Linked DNA regions of Pelodiscus sinensis. The protein of the gene in region 2 purifies or fractionates together with the protein of the main gene of each other region. This does not show direct contact. Links are inferred from orthologs where the notes say so. Each region holds a gene or a part of one and is shown on either strand. Other genes may lie near its edges.

The links.
Region 1: the proteins of STRADB (region 2) and CAB39 purify together in Homo sapiens (affinity purification with mass spectrometry; 3 studies listed by BioGRID and IntAct, counting the BioPlex papers as one, with this or other methods). This does not show direct contact. The link is inferred for Pelodiscus sinensis from reciprocal best matches to the Homo sapiens genes STRADB and CAB39.

The regions. Positions count from the first base shown.
Region 1 is NC_134720.1:9,966,811-9,970,716, forward strand, and holds the start of CAB39 (calcium-binding protein 39), read right to left. Parts: upstream 2,889-3,906; 5' UTR 2,524-2,888; intron 911-2,523; 5' UTR 764-910; intron 1-763. UniProt on the Homo sapiens protein: Component of a complex that binds and activates STK11/LKB1. In the complex, required to stabilize the interaction between CAB39/MO25 (CAB39/MO25alpha or CAB39L/MO25beta) and STK11/LKB1.
Region 2 is NC_134717.1:57,073,056-57,076,961, reverse strand, and holds the start of STRADB (STE20-related kinase adapter protein beta), read right to left. Parts: upstream 2,732-3,906; 5' UTR 2,597-2,731; intron 2,220-2,596; exon of another isoform or gene 1-2,219. UniProt on the Homo sapiens protein: Pseudokinase which, in complex with CAB39/MO25 (CAB39/MO25alpha or CAB39L/MO25beta), binds to and activates STK11/LKB1.

The DNA.
Region 1 (3,906 bases), on a different chromosome or scaffold from region 2:
TATTTATACGGCAGAGCCCACAGCACGTAACCATATAACCGCTGAGATTTTTCAACTGTCGCATGATTATCTATTTAACCAAATTTTAAAATCCCTAGTACCTGATGATACCTTGAACTGCTGTAAGGGAAGCACAGAACTTGTACTGGAGTGTTTGACAGAGAAGTAAAAAAATATTAATTTTCAAATATTTTGTTTTTAAAGGCAAAGTACCTTTTTAGAGCCACATTTTATATAATTATTTTTAAAAGAATAAGTCTCTTGTCTTAAAGAAATTGAAAAGTGGTAAAGTTTAATCTTTTCCCATGCACCGGATGTGTTAACTAACATATTTTCTTCAGGTAAAATACAAGTTTTAAATAAATTACAACTAGATTACTATTTTTCATAAAAATAAAAATGAGTTAAAATCAAAATGTAATCTCTGACAAAACAAGAGAAAATAGTCCCTTCACAAAAATGTTAGGTCACATTAGATTTTATGGGAGCCCTTTGCTAAGTGATAGCCCAATCCTGCCAAGTTATTTTCACATCCAGAGTTATTCCTGCATTGAGTCCTATGAGGACTATGCATATAAGTAAATTTGTATGATCAGGCCCTAGTACTGGCAATTGTGTCACATTGGAAAATTTTATATATATATACAATATTTGAGAGTCAGTCTCCTGTAATATAAAGATAAAAAAGCATGTAACCGAAATAGGGGCAAATGTTGTGCAGTCCTCCTAACCAAATTCTAACTTAGATAATTAGTTTGCCTACCTAAAATTCTCCCTGTGGTTTCATTTGGAAACAGTATTCTTCTTCAGTTCCATCCTAAACTGTTGTGCAGTGTTGCTGAGCGTTGTTAAACAGTAGCCGTTTTACATCCCAGAAGTGGTTCCATTTCAGTGATGGATGAAGTGGTCCCTGTTATAGTTTATATATCAATTTGTTACATTTGTAAAGCATTTGGGGAACCTTCAGAATGAAAGGCAGCATACAAATTAAATATAAACAACATTAGCTGTCATTCATCCTCTTCAAAATAGACCTAAAACCAATCTACACACACAAAGCAATTCAAGATGTGCACAAAGCTATATCACCACTAAAAGCCTCTCATTTACAAACTGCTAAAATCTAAAATAAACTTATAATGAAATGTCCTAGGCCAGGTCTATACTACGGGGGAAGGTCATCTTAAGGTACTCAATTTCAACTATGAGTTGCTGTACCTTAAGCCAAACTTCAGCACTATTCCCACAGCAAGAGGTCAATGGGAGAAATGGCACCGACAGGGACATCCTCAGCATTCGATTTAGCAGGTCTTTACTAGACCTACTAAATAGAACAACAGAAGCTCAACCGCGGCAGTGTCAATCTTCCCACAAGTCTAGATGTGACCCTAGATTCTAATCTGTTAATTTGCAAGGGACTGAGCATTCTAACCAAAGGTAATTCTCAACCTTAATCATGGGTTCTGTTTTGGGGAGGGGTCTAAAACAGAGGGTGAACTCTATCAGCCCTAGGCAAAAAAATTATGTAATGTGTCAGGAGCAGAGGGGCTTTGACCCTTCCTAGTCACCATCCTTGTTGGCATTCCCAAATTCTACCCCACTATTTACTATTTCAGTACAAAGCAACTAAAAAAACCAGGTACTGGGCTTGTTAATTATACAGATTAAAACAGCCCAATTACTGAAAGGCCTCATTTATCTTTTGTATATTGACCTACTCTGGGCTACTGTGTGCTGCAATTTTGCAAAGGTGAAGTCACTTACTCTATTCTTTTTCCTCATCATTACTGCCCTGGGAGATCAACTCACTAGCAAGGCCATTAATTTCTCTTTAGTCAGACTACAATTCATTCTCCACAGCTGAAAAGGTGAAGTACATCCTCCTCTCATTAAGGCAGATCTTTTTCCCCTCTCAAGACACTGACAAGCAGATTTTTGTCTCTGCCGGTTTTGTAACAGGAAGTCTGTTCAAACCCCAGCTCTAAAGAGGAAACAATGCGTGTCAACATCAACCCAAGAGCAGCAGAAGCAGCTAGTGAAGCATGGAAGCCCTCCCCCTAAATATTTGTCAAGCCGAAGACACAGAATTGTCTCGAGCAGAGACCAAGAGTCTAGGCCTGCCCTACAGAGAAAGGGCCTACCCTGATGTGGGGGAGGCGAAAGTAGAGACAGTTTCCAGATAACCCAGCTCTACCCACAGGGGAAGTTCCTCACTCAAGTACTGAGGAAGAGAAAGACCACAGAGACCTTCACCCCAGCCTCTCCCTCTCCCCGCCACGGGGCCTGGGGAGGCAGGAGCAAAGTTCAACAGGAGCCTTCTTCTCTTCCCGAGGGGTCGGGGGGGGGGGGGAGGTTTCACACTAGCATCCCCCATCACAGGCCCGCGGGACGTAAAGTGGGGGGAGGCTCCAGACACTACCGCCTTCAGGCCCTAAGGGCTCCACGGCCGCAATCCGCCGCCAGCCCAGGCCCGCGCTCGGCGGCAAAGGCCAGCCGGGACTCGCGGCGGCAGCGTGACTGTACCTTCGCTCGGCGCGGACTGGGCCTGGTGGCGGGTGCCTCCCTCTTCTTGGGGTCGTGTCTGCGGCCGGGAGACAGGTCGTTGGCGTCTCCAGCGGGACCTTGCCGGCTGAGCCCGCTCCCACCCTAGCGGCTCTGGAGGAGGTACACGACGCGAGGCGCTCGCCTGACGGTCTGTCGCTCGCTCCCTCCCCCGCCCCACGGTGCTGCGCAGCGGCCCTTCAGCGCCCTGCAGCTGCGGCGGCCTGCGCCCGACTCCCTACCGCAGCCGCTCTGCTGCCCCTGGCGGCGCGGCGGAACAAACGCGCCCGGTGTAGGCACCGCCTGCCTGGCAGCCGCGGCCGCTCCCAACTGTACCCCGCGCCGCGACTGCGCGACCGGAACCGGCGCTTAGCAACCGGAACGGGTCTGCCAATAAACTCGGTTGGGAACGGCCCTTGGACACGCTTAGCCCCGCACCACTGCTATGCTGGTAGCGCAAACACAATGGCCGCCCCCACCCTCGGCACTAAACCCTCCCGCCCACAGCACCGCCCCCGCCGCCCACGGGCCCAGCGCGCAGTGACCGTCCTCGGACCCTCTCCGGCCACAGCACACGTAGCACTCACCCTGCGGGGTACACACAGACCCGGCCTCCGGCATCCTGCCCCTCAGCGCAACGAACCGGCCCCGCAGCGCTGCCCATCCCTCAGGACACAGCACACACTAACCGGCCCCGCAGCGCTGCCCATCCCTCAGGGACACAGCACACACTAACCGGCCCCACAGCGCTGCCCATCCCTCAGGGCACAGCACACACTAACCGGCCCCACAGCGCTGCCCATCCCTCAGGGCACAGCACACACTAACCGGCCCCACAGCGCTGCCCATCCCTCAGGGACACAGCACACACTAACCGACCCCACAGCGCTGCCCATCCCTCAGGGCACAGCACACACTAACCGACCCCACAGCGCTGCCCATCCCTCAGGGACACAGCACACACTAACCGGCCCCACAGCGCTGCCCATCCCTCAGGGCACAGCACACACTAACCGACCCCACGGCACTGCCCATCCCTCAGGACACAGCACACACTAACCGGCCCCACAGCACTGCCCATCCCTCAGGGCACAGCACACACTAACCGGCCCCACAGCGCTGCCCATCCATCAGGGCACAGCACACACTAACCGACCCCACAGCGCTGCCCATCCCTCAGGGCACAGCACACACTAACCGACCCCACAGCGCTGCCCATCCCTCAGGGACACAGCACACACTAACCGACCCCACAGCGCTGCCCATCCCTCAGGGCACAGCACACACTAACCGACCCCACAGCGCTGCCCATCCCTCAGGGACACAGCACACACTAACCGGCCCCACAGCGCTGCCCATCCCTCA
Region 2 (3,906 bases):
GCCTAAGGCTGCACGAAGAGTCTCTCGGGAGAAATCCACACACTGGGTGGGGACACTGGTTGGGTCCCCCCCTAAAATCCCATGCAGACGCTCATAGAAGCGGCATGTTTGCAGCGATGATCCAGAATGTTCGTTTGCCTTCTTTGTCTTCTGGTACACTTTCCTGGGCTTCTTTATTTTCACACAGCATGCTGGCGTATTCTTTTTCCATCATGCCCTTTGTGATCATGGCAAAGATATAAGTGTTTCTTTTACTACTTTATAGTTCTCCCTGAACAGATTCTTCACAGCAATGAGGTTCAGGATCTCTTCAATGCTTCATATTGGAGCTTATTTGCAACCCTGGGCATTCATGGCCAGGTGTGCTGATGAGGGGTGCTGCCAGCTCTGAGTGTCTGCTCGCCACACTGGCCAAACAGAAAATGAAATTCAAACTTTCCTGGGCTTTTTTCCCGTGCACCTGGAGAGCAGCAGAGTTGAAAGTACTGTCCAGAGAGATCACAGTGGGGCACTGTGGGACATCTCCCAGAGGCCAGGAACATAGTTTCACTGCTCTAAAATCAACCGTGCAAGGTCTAATTGCCCTATCTTCTCTGATCCCTTTCTCTTCTTGCTTACCCTTATAACCAGTAAAAAATGAGAAAACATAGCTACTTTTAAAAGTGATGGGGCCCTGGCCCGTTTTCTCCCAGGATCCAGTGCTCTCTTTTCAAATCTCTGGGTTTCTTTTGTTTTGTTATCATGACTTTGATGTTCTTAAGCTTCCTCTGAGTCTATGGATGGTGCATGAGTGGAAAGCAAATGGATTAGCTGACTTCTTTCAGGCTTCACACACAAAGGGATTGAAGTGAGGAGAAAGTGACATCCCTATCCAAATGGATGCCTCTGGGAAACCCAATACCAGTAACGACTTCGAGGCTACGTCTACACTGGCATGATTTTGTGCAAGAACTCTTTTGAGGACGAGTTCTTGTGCAAAAACTCTTCCAGAAGAAAGCGTTTACACTGGCATGTGCCTTTGCGCAAGAGATGTGCTTTTGCAAGAGCAGCCATGCCAGTGTAGACGTTCTTTTGCGCAAGAAAGCTCTGATGGCCCTTTTAACCATCAGGCTTTCTTGCGCAAGAAATTCATGTTGCCTGTCTACACTGGCCTCTTGCGCAAGAACAGTTGCGCAAGAGGGCTTATTCCTGAGTGGGAGCATCATAGTTCCTGCGCAAGAAGCACTGATTTCACACATTAGAACATCAGTGTTCTTGCGCAAGAACTCGCAGCCAGTGTAGACAGGCAGCAAGTTTTTGTGCAAAAGCGGGAGCTTTTGCGCAAGATCGCACCAGTGTAGACACAGTGTGAATGTGTAAAGTCCATTGTAAATCATTGCCACTAACAGGCTGCTCATTGATTATTCTGAATGTCTTAAACAGTTGTTTAGTTTTATAAATAAAGACCAAAACTGCAAGGAGGTAAGGGGTTGTGGACGGAGAAGCTGTGGGGCACGGAGGACCTGCAGAGCAGGGAGGTCCAACTGCAGTCCCGGGGGTAGGTGAGATGCACAGGCTGCACCAAGGAGAGAGCATATATGGAACTTTCATTTTCTCTTAGACTCAGCTAAATAAGCAGTGACTGCTGCAACTGAAATCTGGAGGAAGGATTGTTTTAACCATAAAGCCCTGCAGGGGAATTCTGGGTTTTAGGGCTAGTTCCCTTGCAGATTTCCTTTGGGACTTGAGGCAAGTCACTTGGGCTATGTCTAGATGGCAAGCTTCTTTCGAAAGAGCCTCTTTCGAAAGAGCACGTCTAGACTGCATGCGGAATTTCAAAAAAGCAAGCCGCTTTTTCAAAAGAAAGCACCCAGTGAGTCTGGATGCTTTCTTTCTAAAAAGCCTGTTTGCTGTCAAGAACACCTTCTTTCGAAAGAGCACTTTCAAAAGAAGGCGTTCTTCCTCGTGGAATTAGGTTTACCACCGTCGAAAGAAAAGCCGCGTTCTTTCGATTTAATTTCGAAAGAACGCGGCTGCAGTCTAGACGCAGGTGAAGTTTTTTTCGAAAAAAGGCTACTTTTTTCGAAAAAACCCCTGAGTCTGGACACAGCCTTGGGCCCTGACTCTCAGAGCTGAGTTCCCACCCCCACCGCTCCTGCTACTTTAGCTCACGTGGTGGCTACCTGCCACCTCTGGAAGGCAGGGCCCGTGCTCTGAGTGACTGTATGGGGGGGGGGGGGGGCGCTCTGCAAATGCGGCCGTGCAGACACCCCCCCCCCTCAGCCTCCGGGGCCACAGAGGGCAGGCGGCGTGGGGGAGGGGCAGGGCTACACTCGGGGCTGCGGGGGGGGGGGGGGGGCGGTCCCGGCTGGGGGATGGGCCTGGCCACGGGAGCCCGCAAAGCTCCACGCGCGGCTACGTCGGGCACCGCGAAACGGGGGGGGAGGGGGGGGGGGGAAGGGTGGTCCCCGGAGAGCGACGTGAGGGGAACGGCCCCGCCCCTGGCTCCTCGCCCACGTTTTAACGGCCTGGCAGGGCCACGCCCCCTCCCCGTCCCGCCGGCAGCTCCGGGGACGCCCGAGGCTCCTCCCCCGCCGCTCCCGCCTTCGCCGCTCACCTCAGCGCGGCGCGGCCGGGCGGGAGCAAACACCGGGGGAGGGGCCGGTCCGCCCTTGCCTCGCTGTCTCCGTCACCTCCGCCCGGCCACTGCCTCAAGCTTTGAGCCCCGCCCCTCGTCCGGGCCCGAGGCGGGGGAGCGGGACTACAAGCCCCAGCCTGCCGCGCGGCCTCAAGTGCGGGCTGGGACTCGTCGTCTCCCAGGCGAGCCGTGCCCCGTTGCATGCCGGGATATGTAGTCCCCGGGCCGCCCGCGGAGTCGCGCTCTTATGACGCAGAGGGGCGGTGCTCGCTTCTTCCTCGCCCGCGAGGCGCGACGCCTGATCGCCGGAGCCGCAGCGGCCGGAAGGGCCGGCATGGAGGGAACGCGGCCCCGCAGCGGGTAAGAGCGGCCCCCTCACTTGCACCCGGCGTGGCGGTTTAACCGCCCTTCGCCGTCCCCCCACCCCTCGCAGCGCGCGCATTCCCCTAGCCATAGTCCGTTGCCTCGAGACCCGGCTCAATACCGGCTGGCTCAAGGGGAGTTCTCTTCCTCCCTGCGCGCCGGGACGGGGACTTCTTCCCCACATATCGGGTGGGGGAGCTGTGCTCAGTCGGAAGGGACAGTTTATAAACCTGGCCTAAGAACTACGGGTCACCAAGTGACATGGACAGGCAACAGGCTTAAAACAAACCAAAGGAGGTTTTTCTTCACACAGCGCTCAGTCAACCTGTGGAACTCCTCGCCAGATGATGACTAGGATTATAACACGGTTCAAAAAAGAGCTAGATAGATTCATGGAGGTTAGGTCCATCAATGGCTATTAGCAGCGCTCAACAAATAATGCAGTCCGCTCGCCCGGAGCGAGTAGATTGTAACCTGGAAGAGCTGGGTTCGGGCAATCTGCACATGCGCAGATCACCAGACAGCGCGGCTGGCGAGCGGGGCTCGCCGTGGTTCGGTGAGCCCTGGTTATTAGCCAGGATGGGTAGGGATGGTGTCCTAAGCCTCTGTTTCTCTGGAGGTGGGTAATGGGAGTGTTCCCTCCCTCTGGGGCATTTGGTATTGGCCACTGTCGGCAAACAGGATACTCTGCTAGATGGACCATTGGTCTGACCCAGTATGGCTGTTTTTATGTTCTTTCCATCAATTGTGGGAACCTTCACTGTGGTTTTATTATAGTAGGGCAGAAAAAATATTCTAACAATTCATTGCTTGGTAGCAAAAAATTAAATCAGAATAAACATTTGTAAATATATTTTACATATAGTTTGGATAAATTTTGTATTTTCCCTAGCAAAATTAATCAAATGGTGTTTTTTTATTTATTT